7 linked regions of the Kluyveromyces lactis genome follow. The protein of the gene in region 6 interacts with the protein of the main gene of each other region in a pairwise test. Links are inferred from orthologs where the notes say so. Each region holds a gene or a part of one and is shown on either strand. Other genes may lie near its edges. The genes, in order: MAK21, MAK16, SPB1, NOP4, DBP10, NOC2 and RRS1.

Evidence for each region.
Region 1: the proteins of NOC2 (region 6) and MAK21 interact in binary tests that used the Saccharomyces cerevisiae proteins (3 or more experiments, as listed by UniProt). The link is inferred for Kluyveromyces lactis from reciprocal best matches to the Saccharomyces cerevisiae genes NOC2 and MAK21.
Region 2: the proteins of NOC2 (region 6) and MAK16 interact in binary tests that used the Saccharomyces cerevisiae proteins (3 or more experiments, as listed by UniProt). The link is inferred for Kluyveromyces lactis from reciprocal best matches to the Saccharomyces cerevisiae genes NOC2 and MAK16.
Region 3: the proteins of NOC2 (region 6) and SPB1 interact in binary tests that used the Saccharomyces cerevisiae proteins (3 or more experiments, as listed by UniProt). The link is inferred for Kluyveromyces lactis from reciprocal best matches to the Saccharomyces cerevisiae genes NOC2 and SPB1.
Region 4: the proteins of NOC2 (region 6) and NOP4 interact in binary tests that used the Saccharomyces cerevisiae proteins (3 or more experiments, as listed by UniProt). The link is inferred for Kluyveromyces lactis from reciprocal best matches to the Saccharomyces cerevisiae genes NOC2 and NOP4.
Region 5: the proteins of NOC2 (region 6) and DBP10 interact in binary tests that used the Saccharomyces cerevisiae proteins (3 or more experiments, as listed by UniProt). The link is inferred for Kluyveromyces lactis from reciprocal best matches to the Saccharomyces cerevisiae genes NOC2 and DBP10.
Region 7: the proteins of NOC2 (region 6) and RRS1 interact in binary tests that used the Saccharomyces cerevisiae proteins (3 or more experiments, as listed by UniProt). The link is inferred for Kluyveromyces lactis from reciprocal best matches to the Saccharomyces cerevisiae genes NOC2 and RRS1.

The regions. Positions count from the first base shown.
Region 1 is NC_006041.1:1,108,069-1,112,286, forward strand, and holds the start of MAK21 (RNA-binding ribosome biosynthesis protein MAK21), read right to left. Parts: upstream 2,801-4,218; coding exon 1-2,800.
Region 2 is NC_006037.1:359,481-362,188, forward strand, and holds MAK16 (ribosome biosynthesis protein MAK16), read right to left. Parts: upstream 1,410-2,708; coding exon 501-1,409; downstream 1-500. Other genes in the region: aminophospholipid-translocating P4-type ATPase DRS2, read right to left, coding at 1-175; mitotic regulator LTE1, read right to left, coding at 1,848-2,708.
Region 3 is NC_006039.1:51,907-55,987, reverse strand, and holds SPB1 (27S pre-rRNA (guanosine2922-2'-O)-methyltransferase), read right to left. Parts: upstream 2,801-4,081; coding exon 299-2,800; downstream 1-298. Other genes in the region: PBN1 (Pbn1p), read left to right, coding at 1-210; KLLA0_C00715g (uncharacterized protein), read left to right, coding at 3,801-4,081. UniProt on the Saccharomyces cerevisiae protein: Required for proper assembly of pre-ribosomal particles during the biogenesis of the 60S ribosomal subunit. Specifically methylates the guanosine in position 2922 of the 25S rRNA at the stage of 27S pre-rRNA maturation.
Region 4 is NC_006040.1:1,003,822-1,007,636, reverse strand, and holds NOP4 (mRNA-binding ribosome biosynthesis protein NOP4), read right to left. Parts: upstream 2,559-3,815; coding exon 501-2,558; downstream 1-500. Other genes in the region: cyclin-dependent serine/threonine protein kinase SSN3, read left to right, coding at 1-397; CHL4 (Chl4p), read left to right, coding at 3,020-3,815. UniProt on the Saccharomyces cerevisiae protein: Required for 60S ribosomal subunit synthesis. Probably involved in the processing of 27S rRNA to produce mature 25S rRNA.
Region 5 is NC_006042.1:2,294,830-2,298,941, forward strand, and holds the start of DBP10 (ATP-dependent RNA helicase DBP10), read right to left. Parts: upstream 2,801-4,112; coding exon 1-2,800. Other genes in the region: SLM3 (tRNA-5-taurinomethyluridine 2-sulfurtransferase), read left to right, coding at 3,395-4,112. UniProt on the Saccharomyces cerevisiae protein: ATP-binding RNA helicase involved in the biogenesis of 60S ribosomal subunits and is required for the normal formation of 25S and 5.8S rRNAs.
Region 6 is NC_006042.1:102,265-106,284, forward strand, and holds NOC2 (mRNA-binding ribosome synthesis protein NOC2), read right to left. Parts: upstream 2,640-4,020; coding exon 501-2,639; downstream 1-500. Other genes in the region: MEI5 (Mei5p), read right to left, coding at 1-235; GEP3 (Gep3p), read left to right, coding at 2,905-4,020. UniProt on the Saccharomyces cerevisiae protein: Involved in the intranuclear transport of ribosomal precursors.
Region 7 is NC_006038.1:1,139,056-1,141,543, forward strand, and holds RRS1 (ribosome biogenesis protein RRS1), read right to left. Parts: upstream 1,116-2,488; coding exon 501-1,115; downstream 1-500. Other genes in the region: FUS2 (Fus2p), read right to left, coding at 1,368-2,488. UniProt on the Saccharomyces cerevisiae protein: Required for ribosome biogenesis.

The sequences.
Region 1 (4,218 bases), on a different chromosome or scaffold from region 6:
GATCGAAGTCACTGATGTCTTCTGGTTCACCTTCTTCAGCTTCAAGATCAGCTTCTGATGCCTCATCTTCGTCTCCCGAAGATGCAAGGTCTTTGAGATCAATATCGACATCTTCGGATGACGATCCGAAATCATCCTGTGAGAAATCGTCCTCACTGAACTCAACATCGCTGTCCTCTTCGTCACCTTCGACGTCAGGTCTTGACTTCACTAAAGCATCCCAAATTTCATCTTCGTCCAAATCGCTTTCCTCGTCGAATTCAGCTGTACCGTTTTCATCCTCTGCACCTGACTTGGTAGATTTGATGGCATTAGTCTTTGTAGAGAAATATTGATAGAAGAACTTTTCATCTGGCTTGATATCTTGCACCTTCTTACTTAACCAGTTCTCCGTGTTAGCAGGTACTTCGTGCAATGTGGTATCGCTGGCCTTCACTAATAACGAACCAGTGTGTACACCTCCCAAAGGTTGCATGATAGATGAACCTCTAGTGGTTGGCTTTTGCTTGGCGTTACGGTACACGAATCTATCCAAGAAATGGGCTAACGTGAATAGGCCAAGATCGGGTTTGACTAACTCTCTTGTTTCTTGAGTGTCACCGTCGAAGAACCCTTGTGCGTACGACTGCACAGTAGGATGGAAATGGGACAAGAATTGATTTATCTCCCAAAGCGATGAATTTTCAGCGTTGGCATATTTTGGATCACGTTTACGGCTATCGTAACCAGGTTTTTCCTTAGTTTTATCCCTGGAATCTTCGTCATCAGATTCGTAAACAGAGTCTAGTGGTGAGTTGATTAGAACATTTCTGATCTGCGGTAAACTCTTTGAAAGTTGTATCAACAAAAAGAACATACCACTAATGGCACCGATGTTCAACCAATGGGCACAGACTTGCAATATACGTTTTACGAAAGCATCCACTCTTCCAATGTCTTTATCATCTTTCAAAGATTTGTAAAGCAAGTTTAAGTAAATACCTTGCTTCGATGACGACACCAATCTTGGGTCGAGTAGGGATTCGTATAATGTCTTGTAATATCTATCACTTGTGATGTTTGTCTTCACGACAACCTGGTGAATCAATACTAATGCTTGAATTGAAGTGTTGAAATTAGACGCATGTGTTATCTTGAACAATGTATCAAGATGTATCTCGTACACGGATCCCGGCATATCAGAGAATGGGAAAGCACGATTCAAACCAGTTAGAATAGCACCGAATAATTTGGTATTTTTTTCCTCGATAACTTCTTGAGCACTTTTTTCTTCAATGACAGACTTACCACCCTTTTTACCCTTCTTGAAGTTCTTCTTTCTCTTCTTTTCATATGACTTATCGGATTCCTTGATTTCACTCTTTGATTCCTCGTTATCAGCATCAGTTTGGATTAAGAATTTCTCGAATAAAGTGAAATAGGTCTTGATTAGCTGATTTGCTAGATTCTTCTCGGAGCGTTTCAAAATTGTTTGATTAAGTGTCAATGCGGAATAGTATGTAGTATGATAGTCAGCTTGAGGCCTTATGGCAATATCGACAACAGCGTCTACCACAATTGATTTCATATTTGGATGTTGAGTTTCAAGTTTCAAAAGTTTGAAGGAAGCCTTTGACGCTACTTTGTTATCAATGTCACCTAATTTGTTAACACCAAGTTTCAACAAGTTGAATTCCTGTTCTGGTTTGGCTGTTAGCAGGTCAAAGATATGTGTTAGCACTTGCATTCTGACATAGATGATAGGATCATGGGATAATTTCTCAAAGATTTCCAAAATCTTGAAATATAGACCCTTCAAGTAATCCTCAAAATATAAAATAGCTAAAGTTCTCTTATTCAGTAGCATGGAAAGGTTTTGGTTCTTGAAGTATTTTAACTTGCGGTCAGGTAACAGACCATTTAAGAACAAATCCTTCAGAGCATTCAAAGCTTGTAATGCGGAATTTCTTGACTTCTTCCCGCAAAAGGATATCAAAGAATCAAGAGATTTGATATTATGCAATGGAGATTCCTGTAGCAATAAAGTCAAAGCACTAATTTTATCGTTCAACGTACCATCGCTTAAGATCTGGGACATAAACTTACGTTGAGATGAGTTCTTGGTAAATTCTTCGTAGTAATTAGTGTTATCTAATTCTAAGGCCTCTTTACCACGCTGGTATAACTTATCTATCTGTTCTTTCGTTAGCGGATCCTGTTCTCTTGTTAATTCAGGGTCCAAAGGAACTTCGTACCACAACAAATCTGATGGAACAAGTAATTTATCACTTTGAACAATATGAGTTTGAGTGATCATGTCGGATTGATCTTCCTTTTTTTTTTCTGCTGGTTTAGGACTAAGTGGTTCCTCCTCTTTCTCTACCGTCTCTTCTTCTTCTTCTTCTTCAACTTCTACCTCCTCCTCTTCAATATCTTTCTCTTCTTTGCCTGCATCCTCAGTAACTGTTGGTTCTTCTACAACTTCAGGTTCAGGTAGTTTATCGAATCCCATATTCTTCAATAAAGCACTGAAATCGCTCTTAAACTCGTCATCAACTTCTTCATCGGCTTCATTGAATTCAATCTCACTGGCATCGTCGTCAACACCATCAACAAGCTGGACATCTTTTTCAGAGGCTCCAAGAGACAGAGCTTCACGGATCAATTCTTCATTGGTGACAGCAGTTTCCTCTTTAGCTGGAGTAACGTCTGTCTCTTTTTCGCCCTGCTTCTTACTCTTCTTAGGCTTAGTGTCTTTGGCCTTTGAAGCTCCCAATTTGGAGGACACTTTCTCCTTCAATTTGGATAAATCAAGACTCATTCCAGATTTGCACTTGTTATCGAGTGTTGCTTCTTTCCAAGCAATAGATCAATCAAACGACAAACAGAGAAGTGGCCTCTGTGTATATCAACAAACACAGTCTGAGCGCATAATAAGAGTTGAGATGAGATGAGATGAGATGAGATGAGATGAGCTTGATTTTGGTGTAAAGGTAGAAAATTTTTGTCGTTTCTTTTCATCACGTGATTAACGATTATCCGGGTAATGAGTTTGTCTCTCTCGTTTAGTATTTACAAAAGCATTCTATGTAGTAGTGAGACCAAGAAGCGGGGAATCTGCTTGTCACATGGTTTGCCGAGAGCGTTACGAGCCAATGGACATGCTCAGGAGTAGGTAAAGCGTGAAAGTAAGTTGAATCAAAAGTTGCACAATGTATGTACTTCCCTCAAGTATCCGCCTCTCTGCATTGGAATTTCTTTACTGGAATCAATCCCAATTAAAGAATGTTTTTTGGGACCTCGCCATTACCCGCACAAACGACGTGCATGGTGGAAGCCAATGGTGCCATTAGTTGCCAATGGTGCATGCATCAATAAGCATTGACACACATACATATACATTCTTGGGGCAGAAATAGACGTGCATTTGCATGAATTGATTGGAAACTCATGGTTTCAGATGCACCAGCTCGAGGTGAACAAGGTAAGTTACGTATTGAGAACAACTCTTGGTAAAGGAATACTTCTACTATACTTCTTCTTCTTTTCATTGTGCATACAAGAGAAGAGGTTCAAGTCGAGTTGATTACCTCGAAATACAAGGTGTAGTTTTAGAGGGACATTAGGGTCATAGATACGAACCCATTGACCTGCCTAAAAATAACTCAAACTTGTACATTTCAAAAGTTGAATAAGACAAACGAGATTTTCTTTCTAAGTAGCGATAGCGAAGAATATCTATATATTCGTAAGACAATGACAATTGGTATCCTAATGAATGGACAAAGGAAACGTATAAAAAAATAACTGCAATGGCATTTGTCTTTGTGTTTTTTCTGATTTTCATCATCATTTCACTGAAATGAAAATAAAAATAGAGTGCTAATGGTAATAATGGCGTGATAAAAGTAATAAGATGATAAAGCTGATCCTTATGATATGGGAACAATGATGGCAATTGACGGGGAAGATAAAGCTTCTTAAGCTGTCCGTTCAAGCTAATTCTGGATTTTCCATCGAATGCTGTAGCGATGCTATGATGTTTTGTGACGTTTCTTTGCCTTTTTCTATTACAGAGTCATAAATCCAATATAGGTAGATGACGACAAACACACACCGGGGAAAGGAGTGAAAGGATGGATGGTGTGTGAACGAGAGACCGAGCATACGATGCCATGAAAAATTGAAGAGTTACTTCGAATCTCATGCTGCTTTTTTCTATCATTAGAACAAAAAAAA
Region 2 (2,708 bases), on a different chromosome or scaffold from region 6:
TGTTCCTTCTTGGACTATCCCGTAAATCCGGGGTGTAGCTATCATCAAGAAAGTCAACATCAAACAACGCATCGCTGTCGCCATGCTTAGTTGAGCCACTCATTGGAAAGCAGGTTGATCGGTGTGTCGCTCCTCTCTGGCTCTGTATCTCCCTTTCAAAGTACTTGGGTTTCATGGTGCAAATGGTTTACGAATCTTTCTGTTTAATGTGTCCTAATGGGATTTTCCGGTATAATTTACAAAGAAAAAACTGTCAGCATGGAAACAATATTTCCACGTGACTGCTATTTCGAATGCATTATTTGGGTACAGTATAACAAAATGAAGGGAAAGGGGACATACTATTGATGGTGAGATGCTATTGTAAGTGTATATAATTATTAACTATTGCCTTTGCTTCTTTATCGTAGTTGGAAATTTATCTTCAATAAATATAATAATATGTCAAATTTAATAGTATACAAATGTGGTCATGACGAGCTCTGTTTTTCAGAAACGCATCATTGTGCAAGTTCTTGTTGGTTGGAATTTAGTTCCTGTTCATATTCGATTTCAACCTTAGGATGTCTCTTTCTGGTTTGTGTAGATTTCTTTTGTCTCTTAGATGGGTTTTCTTCTTCATCGCTATCTTCGTCGCTACTGTCTTCGTCACTGTCCTCATCACTGCTGTAATCAGATGTATCAGAACCACCGAGCCATTTTTCTAAATCTTCCATATCTACCATCTCATCCTCAGCGTCTTCATCTTCTACGAATTCGACTTCTCCCTCATCGCTTTCTTCTTCCTCATCCCAATCGTTTTCTTCTTCATCCAAGTCCTCGTCTTCTACACGTCCCATGACCTTCTTCCAGATCTTTTCATCCACATTCAAAGGCTTATCACCATACACACCACTCTTCAATCTCTCAAGCAATTCTTTTTCGATAGCCTTTTCAATCTTAGCGGCTGATAATGCCTTACGTTCTCGGTTCTCTTCTCTTCTTTTCACCTTAGGAGCAATACCGACATAATGTCTCTCCTCCTCTCTCAATGCCAAACGTCTCTCTGTAATCATCACTTGTGTAAGCTTTGTCATCCTTTGCTTACACTTATGAATTAAGAACTTGTTCCAATACAGTAAATGTTCATCGATCTGTGCTAATGCCTTTGTGTAATTCTTAGATAGTTTCACTCTTTCCCACAATTTAGCAGGCGTGTGAGCTCTTTCCGCGGTCTTCATGTACAAGTAAAGTGTTCCGTCCACGTTCTTTACAGTGGCATATTTACTATTTGCCAAAGGACACGCTTGTCTCGAACATAAACCTGTTACGTTGTATTCATTTCTACAGAAGTTCTGTCCCTTATCAGTTTTGACTTTGTACGCACAAAAGTGCTGGTTGATAACCTGCCAAATGATCTCGTCAGACATCTGCTAATGTTCAGTCAATCCTACAGATACTGGTTTATGCTTAGTATGAGTTTATTTAAATTGGTTATGACTATCGCTAAGTTTACTTGCTATTCCGCTAGTCGCTGCTTCTTTCATTTCATCTCATCTCATCGCATCGCATCGATATTTTTCAGTTCTCAAAAATTTTCAGGCAGAAAGAGAAAAAAGAAATGGATTACTAAATTTTTAGTCACATGACCAATGATATTTTATTGTTATAATCGGAAACTTAATCAAGAGTCGGAATATGCATGATTAGATCTAAAGAGATTAACCTTCATTCAAATATGTTCGAAAAAAATGTGGATGAAACTATTTGAAACTGATAAAATCGTGTGTTGATATATATATTATATGAGGTGAAATGAACTGAGACTAACTAGTTCTATGTCAAATACTTTACTCGACATTAAAGAATTAAATTGGGGATTTATGTGAAATTGAATTGATTTCGTCATGGGACAATGATGTGATGTAAACACACTTGCTTAACAACTCATGGTCAATATCAATGTTGTAAAATTTGGACCATTGCATCTTCTGTACGAAGTTTTTCACTATTTGAACATTTGTTTGGAATTTGTTGTAATTTAGCACTTCGTCATGTACAATCCAGGTACGTTTCTCAATGTTTAAAGATAGATCCGATAAGTATACCACGATAAATGGAATGCATCCAGAAAGTGGTTCGACTTCGTCTATTAATTGTCTAATGTTACTGTAATTCTTTTCCAGGGATGGTATGGCCTTCAACGTTTCCCAAGTCAATAGATCGCCTGGTTCGACAAGTCTCCATGTTTCAGTGAATTTCTGAACGACAATGGAGTTTAATGCAAGGATGATTTCCATCAAAGTATTGTAATTTTGTAACTCTTTACAGTGTTCGGCTATGTGAATGAATCTTTGGATCGTGTTCCTTCTCAACCTTATGTCCTGAGTCATTACGATTTCAGAAATGATCCAATCCACGGTCAAGTTGAACCTTGCTATGGCTAAATCGATACCCGACAAGTTTTCGTTCTGTACCAATAATTGCAGCCAACTGGTAAATTGTGGAAGTTGTTCACTCATTGTCAAATCCAATAGATCTTTCCAATCAACTTCAGATAGAATTTCCTTTTCAATCAAGGTCAATTGGTTTGCCACAGATTTAGAATCATACATCAGAATGAACGGGATATGTTGCTCTAAATTGTCTATTTTAAGCCTTGAATCAGTTAATGTGTACTGGTTTAACAAATTACGAATTTGTTCATCAGTATTTTCCAATCTGGTGCA
Region 3 (4,081 bases), on a different chromosome or scaffold from region 6:
ATTGAACTTACGAAACGGTCACCCTTCTATACTGGAAAAATCGGATATGAACACTTTTTCACTGACAACACCAAATTTTACTATCTAAATTCTACTAAAATGACAATTAACCTTCCGAAACTAGACTCATCTGATAACTTATGTATTCAGCTGTTTACCTTGGGATTGGTGCTCTTTTCTGTTTTGTATTTGATCAGAAAACTTTTTTGAAGTAGGTTGATCTTATTCAATATTCTATCTACGACTAAATATAATGTACAATTCCATTTCACGGATTAAGTGATATGATTAGCATTCCTTATTTTTTGTGATGCTTTTTAGCGATACGTTTCAAAGCCCTTTGTTCGTTCTTTAAAACACCGTCAACCATCTTATATTTACCCTTAACACCCTTAGGCCTGCCGGAAAGACCTCTATTCTTACCACTTGCAACCACAACTGTGACCTTCGGTTTTTGCTTTGCTTTCTTGGTAACCTTTCTCATCAATTTTGCAATTTCTTCAGCCTTGTCCTTTTCAGATTTATCGCTGTCATCATTAATTAGACCAGCCTTCTTCTTCAACTTTTCTAAACGAGCAACAGCACGGTGCTTCTTCCTGGCTTTAGCTTCAGCAACTTTTTTGATGGGTCTGGCATTTAGAGCCTTCAGTTTATCCTTTATTGCCATGGCTGCTTCTTTGGTGATAGGCTTATTAATTTTGGAATGTTGTTTTTCTTCTTCAACGAACCATTCGGGCAGGTTTTCCATATCACGGAAAGAATATCTATTGAAACCCTCTTCGATTAAATCATGTTTCGTTTTGTGACCTAATGCCAATTGATGAGCTAGAGTCATAGCTTCAACGGTCGCAATATCAATGTCTTTGGAATGTTTCTCTTGTTTTGTCCTCTTTGCCTCTTCTTCGGAATCATACTCAGAGTCTACATCGCCATCTTCGTTGTTTGCGACGATTTCGAAATCACTATCTTCGTCGGAAGATTCGGCTTCAGAAATCTGCTCTGCAGGAAGTGGATTCAATTTTCTTTTCTTTGTTAGTTGTTTGACATCACCCACAGACTCTGAATCCGCAAGATCCGCCTTACCAGGTAAATCTGGTTCAACTCCCTCGAATAAAGAATCGGAAAATAGCGCGCGAGCTTTAGAACTTAACTTGCTGCTGTTTTCTCTACTTTTCAATTTTGCTATCAACTGATTGATAGCTTCATCATCGTCAGAGTCTGAAAGATCCGAGTTGTCATCGTCGTCAACATAATCCTTAGTTTCTTCTTCGTTCTCTTCATCACTTTGTTTGTCCTCGAATCCATTCCAGTTGTCCGCTTCACTGGATTCACGGGCTTGCTTAGCTCTAAACTTTGCATCTCTTTCTGACTTGCGTTCCTTATAGTTACTGTACATGGCATCAAGTTGGGATTCTAGTTCATCAGCCTCAGCGAGCTCATCACGATCATCCAGAGGCGCATTTTCATCAATGTGGATATCGTTATCTATGGCTAATTCATTTTGATCAAATATCATTCTTCTCTTACCCTTGGCAAGTTTATCAAGGATACCCGTTTTTTCTGCAGTTTTCAAATTGAAAATTGATTCTCTACCTAACTCTGCAGCTTCGATACCAATGTCTACTGGATTGATCATATTTAATTGCATACGAACAATTTCCTTCTGTTTCATTTCGTTCTTCTTTCTCTTCTCACGCTTAACAGACAACCTTTGTTTCTCCTGTAGAGTATTTAGTTCTTTTTCAATCTGCTCTTCTTCTGTCAAAGGTGTTTCCTCAATCTCTGGTTTTTCTTCCTCTTCATCCAAGCCTAAAAGTTCTCTAGCTGCTTTTCTCCATTTTAGGATCATCTTGAAATCTTTTCTACCAAGAACCTTTAAATCTTCGATACATGCCAAGAATTCTTTGGTGGTTTGCTTTAATTTCTTCACAATTTTCCAGTCATGATCTTCTTCGTCTACGATGAATTTATTATATTCTCCAAGCATAGTTATTGGGTCTTCTGATTTCATAAAGTCCATAAGACCAGTTTCATGGTATAACAAATAATCACCTTCCTCGTAACCACCTCTTTTTCTGACCTTTTTTTCTGGATTAAAAACCTTGGCTTCCATGTTTTGTGGACCATCTGGTAATTCTTCAAAGACTTCCTTTGGGTCTAATAGCCTTGGATCCAACTTCTTAGGGGCCTTGAAATTTTTGCAGACAACGAAAATTTCCGCAGAAACATTTCTGGAAGCAGGAGGTTTGGTTGCCTCCACCTTTTCGAAGAGCTGTTGAAATACCCAAATTAGCTTGTTGTAATCTTTGGATCTGAAGATCTTCGTTACAAATGTACCACCAACTACTAAATTTTCAACGGCTAATTTTAAGGCTTGCAGTGTTAAATGAGACTGTGTGAAGGCATCTTGAGCCCAACTCAAACCAACATTTGGAGCACCATCGTGTAAAACGGTGTCGGCTTTCCACGTCTTCATGTACCCTCTTAATTTCGATCTACAATCTTCCGTTGTGATATCACTTTGGAAAGTAATAACGTTTGGCATAGTTTTCATCGGAACAATATCGACACCAATAATCAAGGAGTTAACAGGACACAAGTTGGAAGCCACTTGACACCAGGAACCTGGTGCAGCACATAAATCGATAACGACCTTCGACTTCTCCAAAAAATGTCCATACTTTTCATTGATTTGAATGATTTTGAAGGAAGAACGAGCTCTGTAGCCCTTTTCCTTAGCAAGGTAATAGTACTTATCTAAACGACCTTTGGAATTCTTCTTTTGCGTCTTCTTACCCATCTTGGTCTTCTCGGTAATGTATGGTGACCTATTCACTCAAGTCTAAAAGAGAACAGGATATCAGAAAGCAAATAAACAACAGTTGTAACCTGTTCAACGTTCAACTAATCTCTTCTCATCTCATCTCATCTCATCTCATCGCTAGACCAATTTCTCAAATAAAAAATTGTCACTCTTCTCACAAATAATGAAAAATTATCTGAAAAAGAAATAATTTTGGATGCGGTGTTCGGGTTAAGAATGCTCGCGGTACCAGGTATGGAAACACCGGACACTGTACTGGAGGAACTGCCAGCTTTGATGCTATGCACGGTTTCCACTGTTAAAATAACGAGCAGTAAAAAATCTGTTTGGACGTGTTATCATGGATATTGATATTACTGTAACAACACAAGACTTATATAGAGGGCCCTTAGCGTTCCACAGTTTTAAATAAGGAATATGATTTCGGTTTTTTTTCAACCATTAGCACTGCCAACGTTTACAAATAATTATGCAACGCTCTCAGGCTATAAGGGTACCGATGCTTATAATATTTCTGCAAGATTATAGGTATGGGTAGTTACTACTATTGCTACTGCTGATCATACCATAGGCTAAATAAATTTATGACCGCCTCTCGAAATAGAGATGCATTCTATGGCCCTCTCGGTCCATTGGCAGTAACTGCAATCTTATATCCAATTATCACACAACATAATGGTTCCCGCTTATACGTAGGTGTATATATAGCCTAATTCATCCGGGTTCAGTATCACTATATTTGGCCAGAATATCTGCGTATTGTACATTCCAGCCAGTAGAACGATACACGTTACAGACAGAGAAAAAAGGAAGAAGAAAAGCATTCCAAAATAAAACTGCAAAAATCAAAAATCCTTTCAAGTACTTACTTACTTGATTAATTTATGGTTGTATGAGATACTTGTACATAAAGTATTGTTTAATTCAATTGCGCAAGATATCAATCTAGTATCCACTGCGTTGAATACACGGGAAGATGAGTAAGTATTCATTTGAAACGATTCAGTTTAAGGAGACTCCTCCGGCGGAAACTCCTGAACCAGTGAATTCCAAATATGGCGTGAAAACGACAGCATCACCAGCTATTAAGAACGCTCCATTGCCTGCAGAGGGACCTTCTTCCAGACACTTTTCCAATTGGTTATTATTCTCCTTGCTCGGTGGTATTCCTTACTATGTAACAAGGAAAGTTGGGGGAGGTCTCAAAACCTTCTTGTTCTTTGCCGTACTGTTTGCTATCCCAATTTTAATGGCCTT
Region 4 (3,815 bases), on a different chromosome or scaffold from region 6:
TTTAGACATTCTTTACCGTCTATTGCAGTATGATCCTATCAAGAGAATCGATGCAATCGACGCTTTAGACCATGTCTATTTCACCAACGGCGACCCTCCTGTCTGTGAAAATGTGTTCGAGGGTCTCAACTACAAATACCCACCAAGGCGCATTCACACAAACGATAACGACATTACGAATGTCGGCAATGATAATAATCAAGCTAATCACTCTCAAAAACAACCAATGCATGGTAACAATAATAATAAGAATGGGAACATGAACGGATTAGGTGTAAACAAACGTATCTTGGCAGCAGCAGCGGCAGCTGCCGCTGCAGCTGCTGTGTCTGGTAATGGAAACAACCCCACAAGCAATACTGCAACCGGAGGATCAGCACGGAAAAAGAGAAAATGATTCTATAATTGAAATGCATGTTATTTAATATACAGATTTTATATCCTAGAAACTTCATTGCTTCGGAATGCTTTGAATTTTTGCCTTTGACTATTGTTTACATTCAAGAACGGCCCTTGTTCTTTCTTCTACGTTTAGATCCAATAATCTGTTTAATATTATTACTTAGACCAGATTTTGTTTCCTCTTCTACTGGTTGAGCCACTTTTTCTTCTTCTTTATTCTCTTCATCATCTCTTTTTCTCTTGAAAGATATCAATCTAGATTCTTTGACCTTTTCTCTTCTTCTCTTCACAACGTTAGCGTTTTCGATAGCAAATTCGACCACCAGTCTTCTTTTTTTGAAACTGTCTGCATCAAGCTGTTTCTTTTCATCATCCGTAAGTCCTTCTAAGATTTCGTCCCTACTGACTTCATGAGCATTTAACCATCTTAGACACATTAGCGCAGCTTTATGATCCCTGAATTCAACAAAACCATACCCTCTACTTCTACCACCGCTAGATCCTTTAATTTCCATGATAATTTTAGATTGTCTAACAATACCTTGTTTCTTGTCCTTCTTCTTTTGAGCTTCGATTTCTTCTTCAGACATGAACTTGTACTTTTCCTTAGTAGATCTGACGATTTCTTCTTTATTCAATGCGTGTCTCTTGTTTTCGTTAACTTCTTTGGCGAACTCTACTACAGCTTTACGAGCTAGCGCCTTTAGACCCTTCTCAGTCATTGCTCTTGGAATATTTCTGATAGCCAATCTAGTCATCGAAAGATGTAACGTTGGATTCTTCTTCAATTGTTCGACTCTTAACTTGTAAGATTTTTCTCTGACTTCCATATCAGCAGGAGTTAACAACTGTGAAAGCTTTGAACCTGCAACAATTCTACCTTCATTTAACAAATATAGATTACGTCTGTCCTTTTCACCTGGTGCCTTACCAAGAACTTCTTTTCTCTTCTCGGCATTTCTCTCAAACATTCTTCCAGCAGATTCTCTATCAAGAGTTGGAGAAATTGCAAGAACACGACCCTCATAAACATACTCTGGGGAAACATCATCACTTATTAGAAGGGATGTACTTCCTGTAGCAGGAGCATTATTTAGACAGTCGTTGTAAGCATCTTCGCTTCTGAATGCAACGAAAGCAGTACCCTTCGCCAAACCAGTTTCTTTATCAATCACTGGCAAAGCGTATTTTACTGGGCCGAACACGCCGAAATGACGTTCTAAGGATTCTTGAGTGGCATCGTATGGAACATTACGCACAAAAATAGAGAAATCTTCCTTTCTGTTCTTCTTTACGGTATCCTGTTCTGGTGTTTCCTCCTCTTCGCTGATTTCTTCATCAGAATCCAAGACGATGTCACTTTTTTCTTCTTTTTCTTTGTCGTCCTGATTGTCAGCGTCCTCTTCACCCGAATCAGAACCATCATCCTCATCATCATCATCATCTTCTTCTTCTTCTTCCTCATCTTCATCAGACGCTTCCAGTTCCTTATGTTCGTTCTTATAGTCCTCCCATCTGTTCTTTTGAATTGCAAAATCAACAGCCACTTTCCTGCCATCGATCTTCAAATCCTTAGTGCCTTCTATAGCAGCCTTACAGTTAGAGATCCTGTTCATTGTAACAAAAGCAAACCCACATAATCTACCGTCTCTCTTCCTTGGGATCGTAGCTTCAACAACGGTACCGTACAATCCGAAGATTTTCTTCAGTTTCGTCGGATCACGACAGGACCATGGCATATTTCTGATAATTAATTTCGGTTTACCCTTCATTAAATCATTATCATCTTCGGGTTTGCTTTCCTCCTCATCTTTAACATTATCTACGGAAGGTGCTGATGATACCTCATCCGCATCCTTTTTACCACGGGAACGTTCTCTTCTTTTGGCAATATCGATTCTCAACAAACGTCCCATAAACTTCGTCTTTCTAGCCTGATTCAAAGCAGTCTTAGTATCATCTTCAACTGCAAAACTAACAAAACCAAATCCTCTGCTTGCACCCTCACCATCTTTGACAATAACAGCATGCTTGATAGGAGAGAATTGGGAGAAGAAGTTACCGAATTCTTCATCGGTAGACTCAAACGGCACACCACGAACAAATAACGTCTTCAGATCAAGACCTTCATCCTTAATAACTTTCTTATCACTCATCACAGATATATTAAGCACAAATCTGCGTCGTTTGATGTAGACGCTAACAAAATAAGTATATAAATGTGTTCATTAACCTTCTACTATATATATACTAGATATCAATACTAATGGTTCTTGGGCGATGAGATGAGATGAGCTTTAAAATTTTTTGACAAAAAGAAATCAAGCGGACTGAAAAGCTGTAAGATTTAAAGAGATGAACAGATCACGTGTGGATATTCCTGGCATATACGGCTGTTCAATACCTCTGTTCTCCGATGCAATACAACTTTCCTGGTTCTATGAAGATATTCTGTCAATCTTATACGACAGTTAGACCAATTTAGTTGATTGTTCTCACTTTCTTGTCAGAATCAATACTATATAAAATGCATGGAATTTTAACATCGACTATAATCTGAAACTATGGAAAGGTTTGATGACCCTTAATCCTTATGTTCTTTTTATGATGGTGTTATATGGACGGTGAACAGCATATTATTGGGACGGCCAAGATGGAACGCACGCTTCGAAATGACAATAATAATGTAGATATTACAGTTACAAAGAATAAACTTGCTAGGCTCGGTGCACAGGCAATAGTGAAACTGATCACTACCTGGCTTGATACACATGCCATTAATGATTCACAGCTGGTCTCGGATAATTTAGTTGAATTGGTGAAAAAACATGGGGTACGGAATATTGCTAATATGGCTGTCACGAGTTGGTGGCCTTCTTTATCTCGAGAACAGTTATCACAACTGGATATCTGGTCTGTTTTATGTGACACTTCAACTAACCAATGGGTAGCGTCCAGATGTTTGGATAGAGATGGAAAGCAATTTATCGTAAATGTGGAGCCGAATGAGCTTATCAATGGTATGCGCGAACAGTTTAAACGACTTTACGAATTGGATGTTAACATTGAGGAAAACGATGATTTAAGTATGTACATATGCCGAGTTCAGTTGTTCGAATCAACTGGCGACCTTATTATCAATACACACAAACCGTTCTACTTTGCTATTATGCCGGGACACTCGATTATCTTCCACTCGTTGCAGTCTGATACTCACTCACAACTTATATTACTGGCATTCTCAAAGCTACATTCCAAGACAATCAGGTTGGAAAGAATTAGCAGGAAACCAACCACGTCATTACACGAATTAAACCTTTCTCTAGGGCTGCCGTCTGTAAATACTACAGGGTATGGGATTTGGTCCGTATATTCGGGCAAGGATGCACTAGAGCCATCTCCACTAATAGAAC
Region 5 (4,112 bases), about 2.2 Mb from region 6:
CCTTAACTCTAACACCTCTTTCCAAAGCAGCTTCCACTTTTTTCTTTTGGAAAGCGTAATCGTCTCTATGTTTATCAGGCAATTTAGGAGCTTTTTGAGTCTTGTGTTTGAATTTACCGCCAACCGTACGCTCCGATGGAGAAGTCGGATCAGCCAATAGATTCGATGGAATAGTGGATTCTCTTGCACCAACTTTGAGTGGAGCAATTTTTCTTGCCTTAGACCAATCTTGGAATTTTCCGGATCTGAAACTTGCAGGAATCTTTTGACCACTTTCTCCGATGATGTACTTTTTGTTGTCCAAACCTTGAGTGTTCACATATTTCTTACGCTTCTTGTCCCACTTAACCGTAGCTGTTTGCTTGTGAACTTGTACCTTGTCATCGTTGGCTAGATCAAATGCAGCATTGGAAGCATCATTTGTGAAACCAGATGATATCTGTAATTGTTTATCTTGAATGTCACTAGTTGGTGCGAAATGTGATAGATAAAAAGTTGGATCTCTGAAAGTTTTCTTCTGCTTCTTCTTAATATTTTCTTGCTCTTCTAACAAGACATCGGCATCTTCAAATTCTTTCAATACCTCATCAGGCACTGAGTAACCAACTTCGTTGTCTTCACCTTTCAAAATTTCATCTTCTATACTATGCCTCAAACCAATCATTCTCTCTTTTTCCAGAAGTTCTTGTCTTTCTTTTGCCTTCCTTTGAATTGGAGCTATTTGTCTCCTCCTTCTCTTCATTAACACAGACATTTCATCGTCTGGATTCCTTGCGAACTCGAATACAGTTTCCTTGTTATTTCTGTGTTGCAACTTAGCTAAGAAATCCAATTTCTCTTTTTCGGCGTTCTTACCGAAGTATATATTCTGTTCGTCCCATCCTGATCTGAGAATTTCCTTTGACCTTTTCATGGATTCAGCAGACGCTGGTGTCCTGGTTCTAAAGTAAAGTTTTTCGGCTTTCAGGGCAACACCTTTCACAGTATTTAACTCAAAGTCAGATTTGATCATATTGCTATAAAGGTCACCCATACCATCAATCTCAGAACGTGGACAAGCACCAAGGACCATTCTTGTGGTGTAAGAAACCTTAGGATCGGTGAAATTATTATTACCCTCAGATTCTGCCTTCTTTCTGAGTATCTGGCACGACGATTCATACATGGGTGTTAAAAGGATCTTCTTACCCAAGAATAATTCTAGATCCAAGAGATAAGGTAGTTCATTTTCAGAGACAATCGAAAAGGCCCAACCTCTATTACCAGCTCTGGCCGTTCTACCTACACGATGAATGAAAATTTTTGAAGAACCTGGCAAAGAGTAATTAATCACATTCGCTAACAAAGGAATGTCAACACCTCTGGCTGCCACATCTGTCACAACCAAGATAGATGTTAAACCAGCTCTAAAATTATAGAGCTGTTGCTTACGGGCATGTTGATTCAAAGCACCATAAATATATGATACTAGGTATCCACAGTTCTTCAATAACTGTGTGACGTATTCGACATGATGTCTTGTTGGAACGAAAACGATTGTTGCCTTTTCGGATGGCATTTCGTTCGCATTCGGTAAGCGCCTTTTGGATTTTTTAGCCTTCTTTGCCTTCTTTTTCTTTTCATCTTCGCTGTCATCACTGTCAGAATCCGCATCATTCTGCTGTTTGAGCTTCTTTATTTGGGACTCCGTGGCAACAGGCATCTTGATAGCTTCTTGTAACAGATATAATAGATTGGCTTCACGTTCATCCTTTTTTATAGATATAAATAACATCTCCAAATTTTCTGATATCTTCGTTTCAGCATCAAGTCTAACCAATACTGGGTTTGACAAGCCTGCCTTAGCAAAATCAACCAATGATGATGGCAATGTTGCCGAAAACAATAATGTTTGTCTATTAGTTGGGAATGCCACAAGCAGTTCATTCAGTTGTTCCTGGAAACCCATTTCGAATAATCTATCAGCTTCATCAAATACAACATATTCGACTGATTTCAAATCCAAGTTCATTTCAACTTTTAAATGCAAGAATCTACCTGGCGTAGCAATGACGACGTCAGGATTCCCCATCATCATACCGAATTGGTCTTCTAAAGAGTCACCACCTGTTAACAAAATAGAACGTAAATCCGAGCCTTTCGAAAACTCTTTGAAAACTCTATGAGTTTGAATGGCCAATTCTCTTGATGGTGATAAAATAACGGCTCTAACACCAATCTTGGCCGAATGGGTCTTTAATTTTTCTATCATAGGAAGCACAAAAGCAGCAGTCTTACCTGAACCGGTACGTGCCATACCGACAATATCACGCTTTTGTAAAATAAGGGGAATGGTTTTCCTTTGAATTGGTGTAGGTTGCCTGAAACCTTTCTTCGAGATATTAATCAATACTAGTTTTGAGAGACCGAAACTTGCAAACGAACCTTTCTTATGTTTAGCCGCAGCATCAGCGGTAGTGTTGAAATAATCGTTTAAGTCATCATCCGATTCATTCGTAGCCTTCTTTTCGTCGTCCGAAAGCTCAAGACTTGGGAACTTACTGTCCACAATGGGACCTGCCTTGACTTTGGCTTTCTTGTTTTGTTTCTTTGGTTTCTTCTCTTTCTCTTCCTCATCACTAGAAAACTCGATAACATCTTGAACTTCAGCTTGGAAACCAATATTGTCATTATCATCATCAGAAATGTCACTATCTTCACTATCAGCATTTAAAGCAATATCACCAGCAATGTCGAAAGCATCCTCATCTTCGGAGGAGTAATCTTCTGCTGGGAGAGCTCTTTTGCTAGAATCAACCATTACTGTTAAATTTGATTAACCTGAGTTCGATATCTAACAGTTGATTTATGGCAAACAATGATTGGCCTTATAATCAATACGATATAAAAGAATATTTAGCACTACTGATATTAATGAGTTACTATCTCATCTCATCTCATCTCATCGCATCTCTTATTTGGAAAGTGATGTATTTTCAAAATTTTCATAAGGAAAAAGAAATAGTTTTCAAGACCGGCATAAACAGAATTAAACATCAAACTGACGCTTTGTGTGAAACCAAGAAGATCAAGTGACCTAAAACAAAAACTTCAACATTATGTGTCACGAATATTACCAAACTCAAGTAAATAGAACGTCATACTCTAAAATTTTACTATAACTATTTCAACTTGTTTCCCTGAATTTCGCCTCTGTACATTATCTTGGTTTTTTTTTTTCTATGCAAGCCAATCAATTCAGTATCTGACAAAAAAAAGTACATGAAGATCACAACTATAACTTCTCAAGGTTTACTGAAATAAGTACCAGCTATATCTTGTTAAAGCACCATAAAAGTGTCCCGAAGGAGATGCACCACTTTATATAGCAGACGGACAGAAGTTGCGAGGAATAATGTCGAAAATCACTTCAAGATTCTTAGAATTATGCAAACAAAGACGGTTGCCTGGATATCATGTCCAATCCATGCCATCTAAATTTGATAATATTGTGGTAGGAATGTCTGGTGGAGTAGATTCTTCTGTATGTGCTGCATTATTCGCAGCTTACCCGAACGTTCATGGAGTATATATGCAAAATTGGGGCAAAGATCAATCATTGACTAGACCAGAGGAGGATCCATGTTATGAGAAAGAATGGAAGGATGCAGAAAAAGTAGCGAAACATTTGAACATCCCAGTGGAGTTTGTGAATTTTGAGAAAGATTATTGGCTAAATGTGTTCGCGCCTATGTTAGAACAATATAGTATGGGCTATACACCAAATCCTGACATCGGTTGCAATCAGTTTGTTAAATTCGGAAAGTTGATGGATCATCTGGATGTGAAGTTCGGTAAGAACAACTACTGGTTGGTGATGGGACATTATGCTCGAATACTACGAAGAGATAGTGGTCCAGAGAGATCTGAACCACACTTGATGCGCGGATTGTATCAACAGAAGGATCAAAGTTATTATTTATCACAAGTTTCTGTTCCTTCTTTAAATCAAATGATTTTACCAATTGGTCACTTGACGAAACCGGAAGTTAGAGAGATGGCCAAAGAAGTAGATTTACACACTGCCACAAAACCCGACTCTCAGGGTATATGTTTTGTGAACAACTCACAGC
Region 6 (4,020 bases):
AAGTTTGCATTATTTTCACTGCCCTTTTCAAAGCAAACTCTTTCTTCGTAAGATCTCGTATTTGTCGATCAAGATCGTTCTCTAACCTCCGGATCTCCTTTAAAAGTAACACACTACCCGTAGATCTTTCTTCAGGGTTTCTGCAAGATAACTTGGGCAAGATATCACTAAATGAATCATTCTCTTGAACTAAGGTTGTTTCACTATCACCTTCAAAATTCATGACATTCGACATAACGCCTGTAATGAGTACTGGTATAAGAATTATTCCACTTGGTCAAGTTATGCCTACCGCAGATTGTACTCCCGAGCTTTGTATTCTGAATGTAATGTTGAGTATACATGTTTAAAATAATTTACATAATGTAATTTCTATTTTCATGAAATTTACCGCCGATGTCTTTGACAAGGAGGCAATCCAATATAAGATGGTCGAAGACATAGGATTACCAATGAATTTAAAATTGAAGAAAGTTTGAACTTATCATACAATCATTTGATTATTCATCTGCTTCAGATTCAGCATCATCCATTACTATGTCTTGGGCTCCGTCAGAAATATTTTCTTCTTCTTCATCATCGTCAGATTCCAAGGATTCTCTTAAGAGTCTGGCCTTTTCTTCCTTAACCTCATTTTGGATAGCAACCCAGGAACCAAGAGGAGTATCTTTCCACGATATTTCATTTAAGAATTTTTCTACTTCTGTTCTGTTGTTTGGTCCGAAGTCTACATCTGATCTCTTCTTTGTAATGAATTGAGCGTTTTGGTTGATTTTATCTACCACGTTTTGCAACATCTTGTTAAACTTTACATTCTCAGAATTCTTGATATAACGACGTAATGAGATAACGGCAAGCGTTGTTAATTCTGGGAATGAAACGCTTCTGGAGTATAGAACAAAGTACTCACCTAGCAAATCTACAAATTGCTCAGCTAGCCCGTCTTGGTATATTTTTGTCCCCAAGTATGCTTGTGTACACTTGATGTTATGATCAAAGTCAAATGCAGGTAACGTTGACTTTCTAGGTTTCTTTGTGAATGCAGTAGAGGAGAGAATCTCAGATAATAATGGGTAAACTGGAATGAAGATACCAGTGTTTTGAGATAATCTGATCAAGGATCTGATCAAATAAAATCTCAATGGGAAAAATTGTGCTGTTGGAATCAATCTAATGACACCAATGGTAACTTGGACTAGTGGGTAAATCAATTGTCTAAGAGGGGATTCGTGGCCGTTTTCCTTTTCTGGGTTACATTGGATGGATATAACACGAGACCAGAAGTCCAAAGAGTGACAGAACTGCCAGTTATATACAATCTTGTAAGCACTTGATGGGTCCACCTTTGAGGACCTCTTAGTTGTGGCATTGATACTGTTTCTCAAGTGAATGGCTAGTTGTCTGATATATTCGAAACCCGATTGATAACTTATAACGTCATCAATACCGAAAAGTTCAGCAGCAGAGTTCTTTTGGAAATTGATTAGAGGCATGTTTCTGATGTTAGTTTTACGACAACTTTTAATGAAAGTAGAATACGTGGACTTCAATACAACTTCTAATAAAGCTTTCTTATATTCACGAGAGGCATTGTTCAAAAACGCGAATGTGGCAATTTGAGTTTCAACGTCTCCAGTAGTGGACCAAACTTCGACGACTTGAGAAATTAATTCTTTTAGTAATCTTCTAAATGAAATAAAGTATGGTAATAGCTCATAGGTAGAATGCAAAATCATTGAAGCGACGTCTGTGTTTGTGATGTCACTTAGGAGAACGATAAGAGATGGAACGTGCGATTTCAAAACAGAGGACAATTTTGTAACATTTTTATTTGATGGGAGAGTTCTGGTTTCATTCTTACTGACCCTATAAGGTGTCAATTTTTGGACGGCTTTTGGCATATCCACAAGGGCAACGAACATTAACTCGTGGAAGGCTTTTTCATCAAGAACTGTGAACTTGTAATCGTCTACATTTTCCTCGTTGTTCATGTTCACAGCAGCTTTAAAAGCTGAAACCACACTTCTGATAGTTTTGAAAGATGGGCTATTTTTTAAATCCTTCTTCCATTTATTTACGAGCTTTATGTCGACGGCAATTTTGCTATCTTTTTCCTCCTTCTTGGACTTTGATAAATCAGGTTCTTTCAGTTCTTCTTCTTCACCCACTTGCCCTTCTTCGTCATCTGATATTTCATCTAGAGGATTGGTAGATTTGAAAGACAAAAGATCTGGTTCGTTCTCTGCCAAATATTTGTAGAAATCAGGATCCTTCTTTGCCAAATCTTCCATATCCATTTTAACATCTTCATCTTCTTCGGCAGAAGACTCTGAATCATTATCTTTCACCTTTGATGCTTTTTCGGTTTCTTTAGCCATTTTCTTTGACATTTTTGGAATATCGAACCCATTGTCGAAGAACTCTTCAACCTTCATGTCGTTGAAGACTTCTTCCTTAGCGGACTTCTTCAACTTTTGATCTTCTTTGGTCAACGCAGCTGCATTCTTTTCTTCTTCTGTCTTATTACCCCTACGACCGGCGGTTCTCTTAGAATGATCTTTTAACTTCTTTCTATGGTCCAACGTATGCTTCAAGTGTTTCGTCTGAAACTTTTTAGTAGCTTTTGAAACTTTACCCATTGTGTAATTCTTGATCCCTTTATCAATAGGTAACAGGTCCCAAGATTATGCCTTTGATCAACAATATGATTTCAAGAAGATTATCTAGAGCGACTACTGGTTAAGTTGTTAGAGCTGCGTTAAAGTTTCTCTATATCTCTTCTTGGGGCATCTCATCTCATCTCATCTCATCTCATCTCATCGGATTGAATTTTGGTTTGGATATTTGGAAAACTTTTCATGGCGTTTCTTTTTGTATCCGGGTAATGGCATCGCCTTGACATCGATGAATAGTGCAAGTAATATGGTAATTGACATGCTTGGAAAGGTATCGACAAAAGATGCAACAAACTGCAAACAGAATGTCGAGAGATGCAACAGTTTTGAGCCGTTATTGATAAGAGTACTGAGGTATATGCATCAGAAAATAGTAGTAGTATTACCTTTTATGAAATCACGGCTCCAAGCTTTTAAGCAGTTTACTCGGTTTGTATCATGCAAAAGCTGTGGTGTTGAGTTGCAATCCAAGAATCCTTCTGTGACAGGCTACTATAAGCCTCCTCGCGCTGTCAGGAAAGATGCTGGCACCATTGAAGATTTGAAGTATTTAATGTTCACACAAGAACTTCAGCTAAAAAAACATGAAATCGGGCTACTTGATCCAGACACCGATCCAGATTATAAAGAACCTATTCCCAAAAGATTGGTTTGTAAAAGATGTGTCGATGCTATAAGTCATAACAGGTACAACTCATCTGATTTTCCAATTCATTCTTTCAACGATATAAAGGGCGCTTTGCCGCATGCTGCAAACGTATACCACGTTGTGTCTTTGTCTGACTTTCCCTTGTCATTAGACAAAACTATCCTGGCAGAAAAGAATAATAGAAACTATTTACTACTTTCAAAGGCTGATCAGATCACATACAAGTCATCAATGCTACCACATAAAGGGAGTGCTTTTTTTGCGGAATTTTGTAGACGTCATATAGGCGTACATGTTAAGAAAGTAGTATTGTTCTCTAACCCAAGAAATTGGAATATTCCATCAGTGATAAATGCTTTGGCTAAAAGATGCTATTTATTGGGTAATCCTAACGTTGGGAAAACGTCTCTCATTAATTCTTTGCTCCATGAAAAATCAACAAGTTTCCAAGCTCAACTTGATAAGAGAGGCAACGTTATTGGTCCTCCAAAAGGCCACGAACAAATACAAAGTACTCGCCGTAGGGCCATCTTCAATGAAGGTGGAGTATCACATATTCCCAACTTTACCAGAACCATGCAAACTTATTTGATAGAAGATAAAGTTGTGAACGATTTACCAGGGTATACAATGGATCCTACTAAAGTATCCGATCTAGCGAATTATATCGAGAAGGAAACGCTTGATAACATAAGG
Region 7 (2,488 bases), on a different chromosome or scaffold from region 6:
ATGATCAGTTCTTTCAAATCATGCTTGTGAGAATTCAAATCTACCGAAAATAACTCCTGTAACGCTTTCCGTATTCTCTTGGCACTTACTTCCTCTGGGTTTGACACGCTTAAGATGGCCTGGTATGGATATTCACATCAATGTGATAGTTTGAAGTAGTTAGTATCTTGCTCGAAAACGATTCGCTTGATAAAAAAGAAAGGGGGAAACGTACATCTATCATAGGAACATATCTCTTGAGATCACTCATTTCCGATCCTGGTGATCTGCCGGCACCCTGTGCAAATAATATTCCCATTCATTCTCTCATTCTTTGAGGCTCTGACTTTGTTTAAAGTATAATGTTGAAATTTTGTATACGCAAAAATACCGGCTGTAGGAGGGCTTTGAACCTGATAACGGCAGTGAAATGGTCAATACGAGAAAGAGTAAGTTGGTCTATTATACAGTTTATGTAACCTAGTGTAAGGTGTGTAATGCAGTTATATAGTATGTAACGTTTATTTCACTTGGTTCTTCAAGTTTCTTTTCTGTTGCAACTGGTTCTTCTTTATCAATCTCTTTCTTTCGGCTCTGTTCAAAGTTCTTGGGTCAATCAACTCGTCTTCGGTACCCTGGACCTTGTCGTCCACCTCGACCAACCATTGGTCGTCAAGTTCTTTGTTGGAACCTTTGTAACCCCATTTTGGAACCCATTCACCAGCTGCCTCGTCGTAAATCATCTTCCCGGATCTTTCCTTTGGCTTGATACCCTTCTTGGCAGCAAATTGTTCCCATTTAGTTGGTGCCTTAGGCTTAGGTAGTGGTTTTTCTCTTGGTAGCTCTGTTGTTGGCTCTGGTAACTGTACTAAAGTCATAGATGAGGATTGTCCACTGGATCCACCTGCAGATTCTGTGGTAGCTCTGATAGGAAGAGAAAGAATCTGGTTGATCAACAACTGCACGTTATCACGGGTCAAATCTTTTATGTTACTTTCACGAGCAGCATTGGATGAATCAAAATCGTTCCTATCCAACACGTTTGTGTCAAACACTGCTAGGTTACCCAAATCGTATGTGACTGGAATAGCCTTTTCAACCGTTACTGGGCGTTCGCTGTACTTTGTTGTAGACATTCTTGTGGTTTCTATACTCCGTGTGTCGTAAACTGAAGTAGCTGAGTGTAATATCAAACAGGGAACTTTTATACACAAGGCGACTTAAATCAGATAATGTATATAGAAGTATCCAAACAGTAGAGCAGACAAACCTCTCGCTTCTTTACCTCATCTCATCGGGCATCTCTCAGTTGTAAAGCTTTTTGGCATTTTTCTTAAGTGAAAAATTGCAGAAAAGAAATAAAAGTGCGGGTAACATGTATATCTATTTCACAACTCAAATAACCTTCTCACAACTTTACTGGCTCTTGGATCACCGTGGTAGGTCCAGTTCTCTCTTATTGCATGCCTCGTATAGTACCTAGAAGAGCAGAACAGCTGGAGAATGTCAAAATTATCCCCCAGGTCTCGCTGTCCCGAATTGACTAGTTCCAATTCTTTGTTGAGGAACTGATCTCCGCCAGATATGATTTGCATGTACTCCATCATCAGTAAGGTGTACTGAGACACGAGTAGTGTGATTGCTTCTCTGGCATACTCGTTGAATATGGGCAAAGACTCCGCTAGTTGATGTTGTAAATCTTGGAAGCTATTTGCGAGGATTTGTTTTTTGGCGTCGTGGGTTTCAGTGTCGCGTTGTCGCAGATATGCCATGTACTCTTTCTTCAGTGAATTTCTGTCTGCCAGCTTTTGCTTCACGGTAGCAAATCGTTGTAGTAGGTGTTGCAAAGGTTTAATAACTTTCCTGCGGAGATCTTGGAGTTGTAAGATCATCACTTGTTGACGTTGTTTATCGATTTTCTCGACATATGTTCCATATATTGTTCTTTCATTATCACCAGAGTGAAACATTTCATTAGGCGGTTCGAACTCTATTAGATTTTTCCATGTGATTGCGATAGTCAGAGTTCTATCCAAAACTTTAGCTAATTCCAACTTGCACAGAGCTTTATCCCATTTTTGGAGGTTGGCATATATGTTGTTGAACTCTTTGATGCAGTCCTTCAGTGAATTCGATGAGTTGAACTTTGATTCTTCTTTTTCTTCGATGCTATTCAAATGTGAATTGTGGAGGACCGCGCCTGTTGGTTCTCCTTGTGGTACTTCTTCTTCTACTCTTGTAAATGATGGGATATCTGAATAAAAACTAGATGATTTGGAAATTTGTGAACCTCCACGGGATCCAGATTTTGAAGAAATGTTGTCATTCTCCTTTTCTTGAGTCACCGCATTTTCTTCTCCTAAAATGCTTTCCTTTGCACGTCCGGAATTATTTAGTTCATCGTTTAGATCCCTTAGATAACTAATGTATTCTTTTGATATCGCATTCATCTGAACAGACCGTTCTGGTGATAGCAAATTGTCACCAAATAAACATAAGTTCTCGAACA